2 linked regions of the Nothobranchius furzeri genome follow. The protein of the gene in region 2 interacts with the protein of the main gene of each other region in a pairwise test. Links are inferred from orthologs where the notes say so. Each region holds a gene or a part of one and is shown on either strand. Other genes may lie near its edges.

Region 1 (7,806 bases), on a different chromosome or scaffold from region 2:
TTGGAAAACACTCGCTTCAGTCGGAGGAATCTTCCTGCATGCGCCCTGGTTCTGCGACGCGCTCCAAGCCCCTCTCCACATATTCAGCTCGCTGTGTACCTTATGTAGTACACGCTGACAGCGAGCTGCGCTGAGCAGTGTCCAGCTCAGGTGTTCAGATGGGAATCATTTCTTGAGTGATTTAGCTACATCTGCAATGTGCGTAGAATAAAGTGTCAGTTCGTCTGCATGCGTCGGGGTAATTCTTTCTATTCTTTCTCCGTCAAAATAAACGGTCAAATACGGGAACTATCCGGTCAACACAACACAAGCCCTCCTTTTAACTGTTCTGTTTTCTGGTGAAACTTGTTGCAAAGAGATATAATTTAACTTGATTAACACCAGAGCCAGGCGCACTGCGCCGTTATCTCCGTCACTGTAAATGAGGGAAAAACAAATTGATCGGATCCTTTTCTGACCTTCCCCACCTACAAAGTTTAATTACAACAATCAAACGTGACAGAGCCTGGATTTGTATTCTGAACAGTCTAAACATGTTTTAAAAAGAAACGTATGACAAAAGTGGCACCTGCTCAGTAAAACCACCAACAGGGTGAAGAATATCAAAATATTGTAGCAGAGACAGGCTACAACTTCTGGATCCATTTTACATGAATCGTTTTATTGATTATCGTCTTATGAAAGATAACTCTGACGTACACGAGCGACCGTTACTGGCTGCTGTCACCTGTTGTGAGCAGCGCTCTGCTGTCTGAGGGTAGGCCCCGCCCACAACGCCGCGGCTGCTGCGGCTCCCAGTGTTTTCTTTACTGTGGGAAACGGCTAATAATGGCTCTTTGATGGGAACAGGTTGTCGACCCCTGAGCTAGTGGGAGCTCGCGCCATGGGGAAGTGCAAGTTTAATGGTTACTGGATGGCTAATCCCACGTTTGCGACGTGGTTAGCACCGATTTCAGGCAATAGCTGAAAATTATAGCTTAAATTTAATTTAAAAAATAGCTTAAATTTGGTCAAAGTGACCTTAAAAAAGGTCTTAAATGTGGCTCCCTTAAACCTGCAGATACCCTGATTTGAGCCTCTTTTGTAAATGAATGTGAGACTGGGAACAAGAGGAGGCAGCAGGATGGTGAAGAAGCCGGAAAATGCAGGAAATGATTAAACACAGTAGGTTCCTGTTAATGAACCATTTAGCATATTTTAAAAATGGTGACAATTTGGGAAAGCAAATCCATTCTCCAGCCCCGAAATCTGATTTGCATTTGAGCGACTTCCAATCAAATAAGCAGTTTAGGTTGGAGTTGTAGTGGAATATAGTTGTATATTCTTACACTGTTATTAGGTCCAGATATTATAATCAGAATAGGTTGTTTTTTCTTCAGGGAGTTTTATTTAAACACTTTGTATTGACTTAGAGACAAGAAAAGAGAGAGTTGGGATCGTTTAAGAATCTTTAATTTCTATAATTATAAATTCAAACAATGTACCAGGACTAAATCTCTATGATGGATGCATATGGATTTGAATGTTGAAGTGTTGGTGTGTGTGTGTGTGTGTTCAGAATCTCCAGGCTGAGGCAGGCGGATCTGGGTGTCTGATGTTTAGACTAGCTACCACGAGGGCTTCAGTAGCTCTTGACATGAAACGCCATCTTGCCGAGGCTACGTACCGTATGGAGTCTCCCGTGGTCAGATCAGGAATGTCAGGTCCTCGGACCCCCTTGGTACTGGACTGATGAAACAGTGTTGCAGCACGACAAACCCGTCTACGGATAGCTCCGGCAGTAGCGGCAGGTCTCAGCGCGTTCAGCTTTTATTGTGAAGGAACCGTCGTCTTGTTGTTCAAACGACAGAAATTCCAGCTTGACAGTTCTCAGCTTAAAAGTAGAAAAACACAGCTGGCCAGACTCTAATCTCCTTTAGTGATGATGATTTGAGAGCTGGTTGAAACTACGTTGAGTCTATGATGTAACTCCTTTGGAACTCAGGTGGAACTGAAGTTAAAATGGTGTTGCTCTGTTTTTATTAACTTAGTTGTTTATAAATCTTAGCAAATCGGAGTGGACAATTTAAGTAAACAGCCCAGATTCTGCCCTGCGACAGACGAAAGCTCTGATTGGCTGAGAACAATGTGTCATGCGTTCTTATGTTCTGTGGAATAGTATGTCTGGTGCGCAGTCCTGTTTATTCATTAAACACATAAATCATAACATTTTGATTTCACAGATCAGTCACCTGATTATTATTGATCAACATATGTTTTGATTAGCTTCATCACAAATAAAGTACTTTGACTAATTAATGAGGAGCGTTCTTCTTCTTTCTTCTGTCTCCTTTCCTGGAATGTAAACATTTAGAAACAAGCACCCGACCTTGGCGATTCATGCACGCTGTTACTGTGTGAAGGGGGCAGCTGTTAAGGGCAGACAATAGGATCTTAATAACGCTACAAGAGTGTTGCAGTGAGTGTTGATGAAAAAGCCTCGCACTCTAAAATCTTTGAGCTGAAGTCTGGATCTGTTTTCTTTAAATACCTCCCCGAGATGATTTTTGTTTCCTGATGGGTCTGTGAGCTGCAGGGTCGGGATCACGGTTGCATTGCATCCCCAGAATCCACTGATTTCCCTCTTTCCTATTCACTCTCTCTCTTTCTTTACATTTTTAATCACAATTGTCTATTTTTTGCTCATTTAAAATATTTTTAATCATTTTCTAAATGATTAGTTATATTTTTTCATTTTTGTGAAGCGTCTCGTGATTTTTATCTTGAGGCGCTATAGAAATATTTTCTTCTTCTAAAGGTAATGGAGTGCAGTGAGATAAAATGCTTTTTAAAATATTTTTCAGTTCTAATCAAATTTGTTTTGTTATGAAACTTGAACCTTCGCCAGCTGGTGGATGAATGATGGACGGTTGGAGATTTATTTAGATAGTGATGAGACGGGTAACCCACCTGTGGGCTTATCTTGCTGCTGAGAACACGTAGGTGACACCAGCGACTCGTGAACTTGTTGACGTGTCTTCAGAGTCAGTACAAGGTCACGTGACCGGGGCGGGTCTTCTAATCACCTTTTAATGAGCCTGAAACCTTTAAGTTACCCAACGTGTTTTAAGCATAATTTAAAATAAAGACCATGAAAGCGTTTGGATCATTTGATGCTTCAGGGGTAAATGTGTAAAGTTCTTATACACTCAGGTGGAGTTGGCTTCCTAATCTGGATTATTTCTCCTGATAACAAGCTCTTATTCAGCTGACTCGCATGGGAAGCCCGTAAAGATCCCGTAAAGAGAAGCTGCCTCTGGGCTTTGGCCTCAATGAAACGTTTTAACTGTTGCTGTCATTAAACTGGGCTGAAGCAAACCTGCAGAGAAACACGCACTCAGATTCAAAATGTTCACACACTTCCTGTTTGGCTGATCCTGGAAGGTTGTAACTTTCTGCCTCCACCTGCTGGAGCAAACCCTTATTCATCTCCTTCCTGGCTCTGGAGGCCCTTGTGACTGGTTCTCACACATTTCTAGGATTTGGTGGACTGGACAAAGCCCCTGGCCTGGCAGGTGGGTCACCTGGGAGAGAAGTACGACGCATGGGTTCACCAGCCAGTCGACCGACCCATCAGACTCTTTGGGAATGCCTTCCTGGAAGCCGGCACCAAGACGTCCTGGTGAGGAATATACATCAGTGTAGAAAATAGTCACATTTAACGCAGTTACGATTTTTAACAGCTGTAATATTTTAATTGTATTTTTAATAAGAAACATTAGTGTGGTATTAGTGAAACATTTTAATGCTAATTAGGAACAAAATGCAACAAACCAAACTCGTCAGCTTTATTATTAGATTTGACTCACATTCGTTATTCAGTTTGACAGAATGGGACTGACGCTGAGCCAACGGGTCAAAGGGAAATGAACCTGGGAAGGGTTAGGGTTAGATGTTCATTACATTCAAATGTATTAATTCATATTAACTAGGAGTAGACGGTGTATCGGGCTGATATTTGTCCTGAGTAAAGCCGATTTACAGTCAGGCACATCTTTGGGCAGACAGGTGATGTAGCAGAATCTCCTTTAAAAGTGTTTATGTTCACTAATGACATCGGCATAATAAATACTCTAAATCAACTTTATTTAGGTGTCTGACTTTAACACTGAGCAGTGCATAAAGTTCAGATTTAACAGTTGGTTTAATTCAGAGTGCAGTTTAATTTTGTGCATCAACCGATGTTGATAACGGTTTAGCATGAAATTAAGCTGGAAGACGTCTCGATGTTGGCCATGAAAATCGACCCACAACAATCAGCAGTATCTATCGACCATCGGCCGACCGTGTCACCTACACATCGGCATCAGCATTAGAAAAACCAATTCGGTCGACCTGTTGGTATTATTTTTAATATTTATGATTCTGGTATGAAAATTTATACATGAGTGACATTCGGATCACAGATTAACCCTCTCAGGCTCAAAATAAGTTTTGATAGAAGGATGAACAACTAAGTCCTTCAGGGTACTTCTGCGTTAAAAATGCTCATGAAATATGTGTGGAGTAACCAGGTAGGTAGGTTTTAACCCGCCTGCCTCCAGAGGGTTAAACAGTAATCATGCTGAATGTTGGCCAATTTTAATCACCAGGAAATATTTTGTGCATTTCTAGTTTAAAGCACTTCATAAAAAATACCCAGTTGAGATTCAGGCCTTTAAGGGTTTAATGCACCAGTTTGAACCCTGGAATCAGGACCTTAAAAAATTAAAGGCAGTTGTTTTCAGCTCAGAAACGCAACCAATTTTATTTTCTGAGCTTCAAAAATCTTGGATTGAGGTGAAGATTGGGATTAATGCTTCTTTTAGCTGCTGTCTGGTTCTTGAGGCCTACGTCATGAGTTGGGCACACTTTTATCTACGTGGGATTAAGCCTCCTCTTGTTGAACTCTGATTTTTCCATTTAAATAAAAACCAAACAGGTGATTTCTGATGGTTCCAGGTACTGGGTACCGGTGGTTTGGCTCCCCCTGGTGTTCTATCTCAGCTGGTACTGCTACACCACCATGGCAAAGGGCACCTCAAGGATAGACGTCACTTCAGGTAACACACCTGTAGCGTAAACACAACCTATTTACCAACCCATGTTTTTATTTGAATACCTAGACAGACCAGGGTGTGTGTGTGTGTGTGTGTGTGTGTGTGTGTGTGTGTGTGTGTGTGTGTGTGTGTGTGTGTGTGTGTGTGTGTGTGTGTTCCCAGACTTGTCCATCCCCATCCATAAGTACATGTTCCCAATGTTTTTCCTGATGGGCTGGTTCTTGTGGACTTTCATTGAATACTGCATCCATCGCTTCGTCTTCCACATGAAACCGCCCGCGCACAACTACTACCTCATCACGCTGCACTTTCTGCTGCACGGGCAGCACCACAAGGTAGAACCAGGTTCTCACAGCTAATATTGGTGTTCTCCTTGGTTCACCTTCTTACTTTCACATGCTAACACCCTGCAGATCACTGCTGTCAAACTTTTGCAATGGTTCCTGTGAATAATTAGTATAAGCACGAGTAATATTTAATATTTTATTACATTAGAAAAATAGGTTGAAAGGCTAAATAATTTCTATTTACAACCAAATAAAAATGTATTCCTCCATCATGTATTTTGTTGTCTCCACAGTCTCCGTTTGATGGCTCTCGGCTCGTCTTCCCTCCTGGTCTGGCCTCCTTAGTCGTGGGAACTTTTTATATCTTTCTCCTCAGCACGCTCCCAGAGATCCTCGGGGTATCCGTGTTCGTCGGAGGGCTGTGCGGCTACGTTGTGTACGACATGATTCACTACTATCTTCACTACGGATCACCAAAGCGAGGAACGTACCTGTACAGTCTGAAGGCCTACCATGTAAAACATCACTTTGAGCACCAGAAAACAGGTCAGCACAACATCACACTTCCTGTACCGTTTAGGTCCATCAAAAAATACTTCAAGAGTTCTTAACTTTGATTCTACTGAAGAAGTTTGGACCAAAGATATTCCTGAAAATAGGCCTGGGCGGTATGGCAAAAATGTCATCACAGTATTATTTTAAAATTATATCGGTTTTATGGTATTTGACAGTATTTTTCACAAGGCCATGATTAATAATAATAATACATTTTATTTCAAGCGCCTTTCAAAGCTCTCAAGGTCACTGTACAAGACAAAATATAAGGAACAGCAAGCAATACAAACAACAAGAAATAAATGCTAAGAGTAATTCCCAAGGGTAGAGTCGGAGCAGTGCAATGGATAATAGACTAAAAAGAGTCGATGGAAGGAGGACAGTTACAGTGAGTAAGCCAGGCGGAACGTATGAGTTTTGAGTTGAGACTTGAAGGTTGAGAAGGAGTTTATATTGCGGAGGTCAGGCGGCAGAGCGTTCCAGAGTTTTGGAGCTGAGTGGCTGAAAGCTCTGGCTCCCATAGTACAGAGACGAGTGCGAGGAACAGACAGGGAAGGTGAAGATGATGATCGGAGAGAGCGAGTGGGAGTGACGATGTGGAGGAAATTAGAAAGATATGGGGGAGCGAGATTATGGATGGCTTTAAAGGTATGAAGAAGTATCTTATAGTCAATTCTGTATTTGACAGGGAGCCAGTGAAGTTGTTGCAGGACAGGGGTGATGTGATCAAAAGTGGAGGTCTCGGTGATTATCCAGGCAGCTGAATTTTGGACTAACTGTAACTTGTTGAGTGATTTTAGAGGGAGACCGGAGAGGAGGGCATTACGGTAATCGATGCGACTGGTGACCAGGCTGTGGACCCAAATATCAGTGGAGTGTTGACTGAGGGAGGGGCGGAGCCGACTGACATTGCGAAGATGAAAATAAGCAGTTTTTATTGTGTTGTTAATATGAGGAATGAAGGATAAGGTGTTGTCTAAGATGACACCCAAGCTCTTAGCTTTGGCGGTGGGGAGGAGTGTGGCGTTGTCGAAGCTGAGTGAGAAGGAACTGGTCTTAGATAGAGATGACTTGGTGTCAGTGAGGAGGATCTCAGTCTTATTGCTGTTGAGCTGTAGAAAGTTAGAAGAAAACCAGGATTTGACTTCGGTGAGACAACTGAGAAGGGAGGATGAAGGGAGCAGGGGGTTTGGTTGGGTAGAGAAGTAGAGCTGGGTGTCATCGGTGTAGCAGTGAAAATGAATAAATTTCCTGAAGATATTGCCAAGTGGGAGTAAATAGATTATGAAGAGAAGGGGACCTAAGACTGAGCCCTGAGGAACTCCAGAGGTAACTGGCTTGGGGTTAGAGTGGAAGGTGCGCAGTTGGACAAATTGAGTGCGATTAGATAGATATGATTTGGACCAATTTAGAGGAGTTTTTGAAATGCCGATGGTGGATAGTCTGTGGAGTAGATTACCCAGATTATTTTTATAAGAAAAGAATTACTGCACTAGACTGGCCTTAAATAGCCCGTTTTACCTTCATGTGCAGAATACCAGTTTTTCCATGTCCAGTCACAGGTAGGTAAATGCAGAAACCCCCTCAAAGTATCCTTGTCAAAAGAAAGCAGTTAAAAAACAACTAGAAAGATGAAATATTGCAGTCAAAATAAACCTTTTTTTATTGAACACATTTTGCATATAATCTGTGCAATTAACCATCTTTATGATTTAACATCCAACGTTATTGCGTTGGTTATCTCGACCCACCGCTTGCTTTTTTTAAAAATACAGTCCCTTTAGCGAACTGACGTCTGACTCTGACTGCTACTAGCCGTTTTAGCCTTGGAGGTGGAGGGTGCAGATCGAAGCACGAGACATGCTTGGTATTCCAAGACGTGTTTT
Region 2 (7,818 bases):
TCTTCAGGCTTGTGTTATTTGTGGAGATAAAACATCAATGTTACAGAACAAATGGAGTCAGTGGTAGAGTTGTGTTGCTAATAGCCAATCAGAGAAGAGATGTCAAAAATCCTGAACCCCCGTTCAGCTCATGGGTCCCCAGAGCAAAGAAAACATTAATGGAAGTGAACAGGGCTATAAAAGGTATTTTCTGGCCCGCTTTTACACACGCTCTGAACTGCACATTTGTTGTACTTCAATTTAAATAAAAATTCTTGATGTGTGATTCAAATTTCTCACATGATTAGAGATTTCTTAGCTTTTGGAAATTCGTATTTAAAATGACGACAAATCAGACGTTGCATTTATGATCACCACAGGATCTCTTCTCCCCCATCATAGCTGATGCTTTCCACATGGCCAGATTTATAGTTCTCCACATTTAATGCTGTTTCTGTCGTCCTGGATAGAGATTCTAAGCTTGCTAAACTCAACGCCATTTTCTTCTCCTCTTCTTTGTGTCTGGTTTCTATGACGTCAATTTGGTGAGACAAGCATTAGTTGTCTGCTATGTCTTTTCACACAAAACCTGAAACAACCTTTCACCTGTCAAAATAAGTGCTTTCTTGGCATCAAATTGTTTCTTTAAAATTCATGGACATCATGGCACATAGTAACTTTTATCAGCTCATAGACTCTCATTTATGTATTTATTTATTGCAGAAGGACAGGACCCATGGTCCAGAAGTACACTCCCTATAGAGATCCCACTCTCAGGGCTCATACAACAGCACATTTTTTAAAATGCCCTCTTTAAAGCTATAAGCTAAGCAGTATTAATTGTAATCAGGTTATTCGGGAGCTAACACAGTGTGTTGCTTTGTTCTTAGGCTCAAAGGGATTCTTTATCTCCGTCATTTACACAACAATCCACTGACAGGTAAGATCTGTTCAAGACTTGCGTCACTGTCTCAAGTATAAAAGTAGTACAGTAAAATGGTAGTGTGGAGTAAATGGTCCCATCAAAGAGTTCTGTTCTTTTTTTTCTTTCTGTTTTTAGTGAAACTGTTTCTCAGTTGCTTGATGACAATCAGCGTTATATGGCTCAACTTACGTCGCTGCTTCAGGATGCCACCCAGGAGATGGAGCACAGTGTTATGGTACTGTATTCAGTTACAAATCGGTGTGCTAATTACTAGTTTAAATGCAGATCTAAGAATTACTAATAAATGCACTTTTAATCTGAAATATAAGGAATTATGGTTAATTTTTATTTGAAAGAGTTAATTGCTTATCTAGGTTTCAGAATGGTATGTTTACTACTGCTGTAACAGAGACGTTTTCTGTCTCTCCAGGATCAGGATTGGAGCTGGATTCAGTTTGGAGCAGTGAAAGTAGACTCCCAGTAGCGGAGAGTTTTTATACAGCTGATACTTTAACAAGTGCCTGTTTAAAATCTGAAAGCGTTTGTTTCCAGATTGTGTCATTTATAAGGTTGCATTGCTGTAAGGCAGTTCTGGATGAAACAGCATCACAAACTCAGCTATGCATGGTTTAAATTAAACACATTTGCAAAATGTTCAAAGGTTTATCTGGCAATAGTAATAATAATATTTATTTTTTGTAGTATTGATTTAAGTTGAACTGTGCTAATGATAAATTGTGCATGTGAATAAATTTGTACAACTGTATGGAACATTTACAGTGCTTTGACTCTCATAATATATATTTTAGTGCAACACAGTTGAACATATTTATTTTTTATCTCATTTAATTCAAAAGCAAAACAGATGAAATTGGCTGCTCATATTTAAAATTTTAAGTGGGTAAAAAACAAATTCTGAGAAAATGTATAAAAGACTTTGGTGAAGAGACAGCTGCAGGTGAAGATTAAAACAAACTCAGTTGGGCAATTTGCATTAACTGAAATGCTGATTGAATAATAAAAAAACAAAGACATTTTGATTATTTCAAATGTCCAGTTTGACCAGGAAGAGAAAAAATATTGATCTTTCCCTCAATTCTATTCATATTCTCTCTCTCTTTCATGGCATTTTTAGTCAATATTTATTTTCATGTGAAACATGGTTTTGTCTTTTTTTTTATCTTTTTCAAAAATAATTTTTTTTAGTTTTAGTTTTTGTGAACGCCACATGATTACTGTCTTGAGAGGTGCTGTATAAAAGATTGTTTTCTTTCTTTCTTAATAAATGTCAAAACAGTGTTTTTTGTTTAGTTTTGTTATTTTTACACCGGGGAATTTTGTAGTAGACATTTTCACATATTTTGTATTAGAATTTTTTTTCATTTTGACTAAGATAAATATTTTTGGACTAGTCAGGTTATTTTATGTTACAACGGCTTTCCCTAAGTTTGACACGCTCCCACTTACGGCAGTCTTGAAACCTGAGGGAGGGGGAGGAGTCGGGCCGTGGGCGGGGCATGGGTCACTGAATGATAAGATCAGAAGTGGAGACGGCTCGATACTGTGGTAAATTTATGTCAACATTCAGCAGTTTATTTTAACGCTCAAATGGCTACGAGTGTATTTGAGAACACTAAACATGTCGAGATTTATTTGCTTTGTTCTAGCAGCCACGCAAGCTACTGTTAACTTTAAGCTACAAGATGCTAACGGATTGACTGACTTCCGAGTCCACCCGATACACACAGCTAGCTGGCTAGTTAGCTAAGCCTGCCAAATTCGCATACCAAAGGAATAAGTGTCCGGCTTTTGAATTTAATTGGTGATTCTGCCGATTGAAATTAATCTATTCTGCGCACATGATGCAATGTTACTTGACAAAATTATTGAAAATATTTTCCTTTAAATATCTTGAAGCAAATCATGTTAGCGTTAGCCCAGACTACTGTTTACTCGTGTTTCAGTCAGTGAGGTGCTTCTCCGACTTGAAAGCACCTGTTTGAGCAAATCAGGATATATTAAATTGAGAGGAGAGCAGAAATAAATAATACAGTGGACTAAACGTGGTGGTGAACATGATTAGTGGCATATTTCATTTAAACTTAAGTGTTACTTTGAAAAAAGTAAAGTGGAATGCTGTTTTATACCAGATAACGTTCAGTGCATTGATTTTTGTTTGACTATTATTATTAAAATATATAAAACTTTTTAAGACTTCATTATGTTCAGCATGGAAACAGACTGCAGCAGCAGTAGGTTATTACTTAAAAATAAACATTGGTTTTTATGTTTTTGTTGCTCACAGTTAACAGCATATTTATCTGACCAGAGCCATCGTGCCTCTCCCAGTAGAGAATGTTGTGACAACATTTCAGTGTTTGCTTCACTCTTTGCCTGCAGGTGAGGTCAAATGAGGATGACGATGCCGCACGTGGGGGCAGTGTTTGCAACAATAGCAGGAGTGATGGCCATCATGTTGCACTCCTCTATTCACAAGATCGAGGAAGGACACCTTGCTGTTTACTACAGGTATCTCAAAGGCAAATTTATGGGCCATTCCCATCCGTACCGGGTCGGCCCGGGCCGGGTAGCGTAGGTTGTTTACATATCTGGGTGGCCTGGTATTTTTCTGGGCCAACCAAGGCTCATTCTCAGCCCTCTTCTCGAGGGGGTCTGCTTCAGGCCGACCAGGGCCAACACACCCACTGCTGACAGCAAATTCACACCTTCCATTAGAGCAAGCCTCTGCTTGGTGGGTAGAATCAGCCCACATGGGCTTAAGGCAAGGATATGTGGAATCAACCGGGCCAGGCTGGGGCCGGCTGGGGCTACCCGGCCTGGGCCGACCCGGTACAGATGGGAATGGCCCACTAGAATCCCTCGTCGTTCACATCATTCTTCCACGAAATAAGACATTACATGTTCTCATGGTCTCTTCTTTTTTTCATATTTGAACAACTTTGTTCAAATATGTTCAAAAATTCATCATGTGTACAGATGTTTGTTTTTATGATTTATGCTGTGTTGATTGATTGATTTGATATTGTTTGTGATCATCTAATAGTGTATTCTACAGTTGAGTGCTGCTGGGTGTTAATGCTAGACAAACCATGTATTTGCAAGTACATGGACATCGATAAAAACAGCCTGACAGACATCATATTCAAACGTTTACGCTCAAATAGTTAATCATGACTCACAGTGCTCAAGTAACATTTTCTTTAAGGTCTTATTTTTACTGTTAGGTTATTTGTGTCACTATTTTTTGCTTACTATCCACCTCTGGCAAAAAAGCAGTTTTTGTCCATATCTGAATGCTGTTTGGATGAGACCGTCTCCTGGATAACTCCACATCAATTCAATTCAAGTTTATTTATATAGCACCAAATCACGACAAGAGTTGTTTCAAGGCTTTTCACATAATAAAATATTCCAATACAGGTCAGTTCATTAAGCCAATCAGAAAAAAGTTTCCTATATAAGGAACCCAGCAAATTGCATCAAGTTACTTACAGGTGTCAGTGACTTTACAGCAATCCTCATACTAAGCAAGCATTTAGCGACAGTGGAGAGGAAAACTCCCTTTTAACAGGAAGAAACCTCCAGAGGATCCGGCCTCAGTATAAGCAGCCATCCTCCATGACTCACTGGGGTCTGAGAGCGTTGCTAGTGTCAGTTCAGACATAGGACCATACTCACCGGCTAAATGTGTGGAACTAATATATACGTGAACCCTTTGATCTATTCCACATCATGACAATCTGCTCTCCAAAAAATAAAAACTTCCACTGCTTTGCTATTTCTGTCTTTAGCCCGGTACCCTTTCGAGGTTTTTCATGTTGTCACAGATTTTATGTGGCTTTATAAAAAGGGTAAAAAATGTCCCCTTCGACATCCAGTCTGGGTATCAAGAGTCCGATTAGCACCTGCCCTAACGTCAGAGCTTAGTTCCGTTCTGTTTGAAGGTATTTGTGATGGAAATACATATTTAAGCAGAGCGCCTCAGACCCATAGGCACCAATGTAAAATACATGCTTGTTCTTTGGCTACATCACATAATGTCAATGTTAAGTCACAGTCTACTGTAGAATACGCTATTCTACATTTATTTTACATTTTAAGTTCATGCCTTCTGTTATATATATATATATATATATATATATATATATATATATATATATATATATATATATACATTTATACATTTATTTAGGATAAAATTGCAACACCATAGCACCCTTAGACCTTAGATAAGCCTTTTTTGTATTTGTTTCAGAGGTGGCGCATTGCTGACATCTCCAAACGGTCCAGGATATCACATTATGCTGCCTTTCATTACCACCTACAGAGCTGTGCAGGTAAATTCAGACTTCAGATTTTCCTTTCATTTCTGTCGCACACGGATTAGCAACATTCCACAAACAGGCTGGGGAGCTACAACTGAAGTAGTTCTGTTTTACTCAGACGAGGCACTATTTTTGTCTGTTATAGAATGAAAATTAGAACAAAAGTTAAATAAAAATAACTGTTCGATAAAACTTTATTTAGCAGATACATTTCAGAGATTTAACATAAGAGGGTGTTATTATAGAAATATATGGATCCACTATCATTAGTGGTGCAACGTATAAAAACAACTCACTAGAGTTGGGCATCGTTTGATTTTGAACGATTCCGATTCCAATTCCTCGTTTCGATTCCCGATTCCGATTCTTTCAAGACATGACATGCTTTACATGAGCCAGCTAACCACAGGTCCTACTTGATGAAATAATCTTAACTTCAACGTGAATTGTAACGCTATGAACAACAACATCACTTTCATTTAGACTAAAACATGTTTTGGAGAAAAAAAGAAAAAGACTTGCAGCACAATCAGTGTGTTTGTTTCTGACCACAACCAAAGTAAGAGTAAGATTTGGCCTCTGGGATGAGAGGCTAAATGTCTCCAACATATCCAGAAACGTCCGGCTGTTTTCAGCTAAAACTCTCAGGATGATCATGTCCAGGATGACTGACCCCGGGTTTCCACAGGAGCCGTCAGCAGCACGTTATTGCAGCAGCACGTCGCGTAAGCTGCTGCTTGGCCCTTCCCACGAGACGCGAAGCAGCAGGGGAGCAGCTGTCACCGACCGAGCACGAAGTCACACGAGTGACTTCGTCAGTAAACACAACAACAAGCAGGAGAAAACTACAACATGGCTCCAAAATGTTTGTGTTTTTATGTTCTGTCCGTTTTATAATCGCCAATACGGACCTGAAAAACAAAGGAGACCGCTAGCAAGGTGATAACTTCTCATGGGGCCGCACAGTTAGTAACTTTTTTAAAAGTAAAGCAACCGGAAGGCAGTACGTTCTTTATTCTGAAAATCTCGGTAGCTTCTCTCCATTTCCGCGTCCGATTTCCTGTCTTTCCTTCCCCAAAAATGTCGAACTTGACCCGTTTCAGAGGCGTCGCGCGTAGAAAATAGAACCGGCGCGTAAAGGCCGCGACATGCTGCTCCTGAGACGCGGCCGACTTGCGCTGCTGACGGCTACGGTGGAAAAGGTTCTGTTGACCACAGCGGTTCCTATCAGCAGCTATGACGTGCTGCTGCAGTAACGTGCTGCTGACGGCTCCGGTGGAAAGCCGGGGTGAGAACTACACCTCCATGCTGCAGCAGCATTCAGTCAGAACAGGAAGTGAAACTTAAATGTAGCTGCTGTAGGTAACAATCTAACAGATTTTAAACATTAAAACTCTCAGCTGAAATAGTTCAGAAAGGAAATTAAAATGTTCACAACTTTGTGTGTGATTTATTATTATTATTATTATTATTATTATTATTATTATTTATTGTGGCAGAAGCTGGTGTGGTCCACCACAGAGAAGCTGCTCTAGCATTATGACTTTAATTATTCTACAGGTTGTTGTTCAGCCTTCTGACACACACACACACACAGACACACACACAAGTGTTGGTGAGCAGCTGCGTCTGACTGCTGACGCTCCGTGTGTGTTTTTATTTCTGCAGTGAGACAAACTCACCTCACACCGTCCAGTTTTTTTTTAAAGCTTCTATTAAATCCACCGTTTGATGTATTTTAACAAGTTTCCTCTACACTGCAGAAGTTAAAGTTTACATTACGGAGTAAAAGTTCAGCAGACACGTTTGTTTATACTTGGCCGCTGCGCGTCGGGGGAAGGGAGGGGGACTCGGTGCTGCACACAGACAGCTGGTGTGATCAGCTCTGAAAAGCGTTGATCACAATTTGCAGATCACGTTTATTTTTCACGGAGATCGGCCGCGGATTCCTCTTCTGTCGGCACACTAGGAATCGAAATAAAAAACTTTGCCAGATTGTGGGAAAAACTAACAGTTGGTCCCAGTTCCAATCGATGCTCAGTGCTCGATGCCCAACCCTAAAACTCGGTTCAGATCAGATCACTGTTTTCAGTCGGACCATTTTTCCATTGTCAAAGAAAAGACAAACAGCATTCTTCTGTCATTTTTGGTTATACGTGTCATGCAACATTTTTCTGCTAAATTGGTAACGTGCTATTAAAATAAGAATTAGAGGTCTGATTGCTGATTAAATGATAAAATGGCTTGCCGAAGCCCAGCTCGCTTCCTGCGTGTCCTGTTTTCACTTATGTCCTTGCTTTTCTGAAGAGTTGTTTATTTTTCTTTCCTCCTCTTTTACAGATTTGCCCCCAACCACTTTAATGTAGTACTTGTCCCAGGCACCACCTCCCTCCATTCACAGTGATCTGAGTTAGGTGTGCGCGGTGCTGTGCCGTCAGACAGGAGTGTGTGTTTATTTTTGCTGTTTGCATCATCCTCCATGACCACCGACCGCTGTGCTTTCCTTGTGACCTCGGCCCTTCACACGATCGATCCACGGATCGTGCGTGTTGAACCGTAGAGAGAGAT

Evidence for each region. The genes of interacting proteins can lie anywhere in the genome.
Region 1: the proteins of erlin1 (region 2) and fa2h interact in binary tests that used the Homo sapiens proteins (3 or more experiments, as listed by UniProt). The two-hybrid records come from large-scale screens. The link is inferred for Nothobranchius furzeri from reciprocal best matches to the Homo sapiens genes ERLIN1 and FA2H.

The regions. Positions count from the first base shown.
Region 1 is NC_091744.1:84,882,294-84,890,099, reverse strand, and holds part of fa2h (fatty acid 2-hydroxylase), read left to right. Parts: intron 1-3,518; coding exon 3,519-3,661; intron 3,662-4,980; coding exon 4,981-5,081; intron 5,082-5,240; coding exon 5,241-5,413; intron 5,414-5,658; coding exon 5,659-5,911; intron 5,912-7,806. UniProt on the Homo sapiens protein: Catalyzes the hydroxylation of free fatty acids at the C-2 position to produce 2-hydroxy fatty acids, which are building blocks of sphingolipids and glycosphingolipids common in neural tissue and epidermis.
Region 2 is NC_091752.1:23,927,601-23,935,418, forward strand, and holds the start of erlin1 (erlin-1), read left to right. Parts: upstream 1-2,393; 5' UTR 2,394-2,470; intron 2,471-3,304; 5' UTR 3,305-3,314; coding exon 3,315-3,433; intron 3,434-5,180; coding exon 5,181-5,262; intron 5,263-7,818. Other genes in the region: inhibitor of nuclear factor kappa-B kinase subunit alpha, read left to right, coding at 870-919, 1,040-1,139, 1,335-1,388. UniProt on the Homo sapiens protein: Component of the ERLIN1/ERLIN2 complex which mediates the endoplasmic reticulum-associated degradation (ERAD) of inositol 1,4,5-trisphosphate receptors (IP3Rs).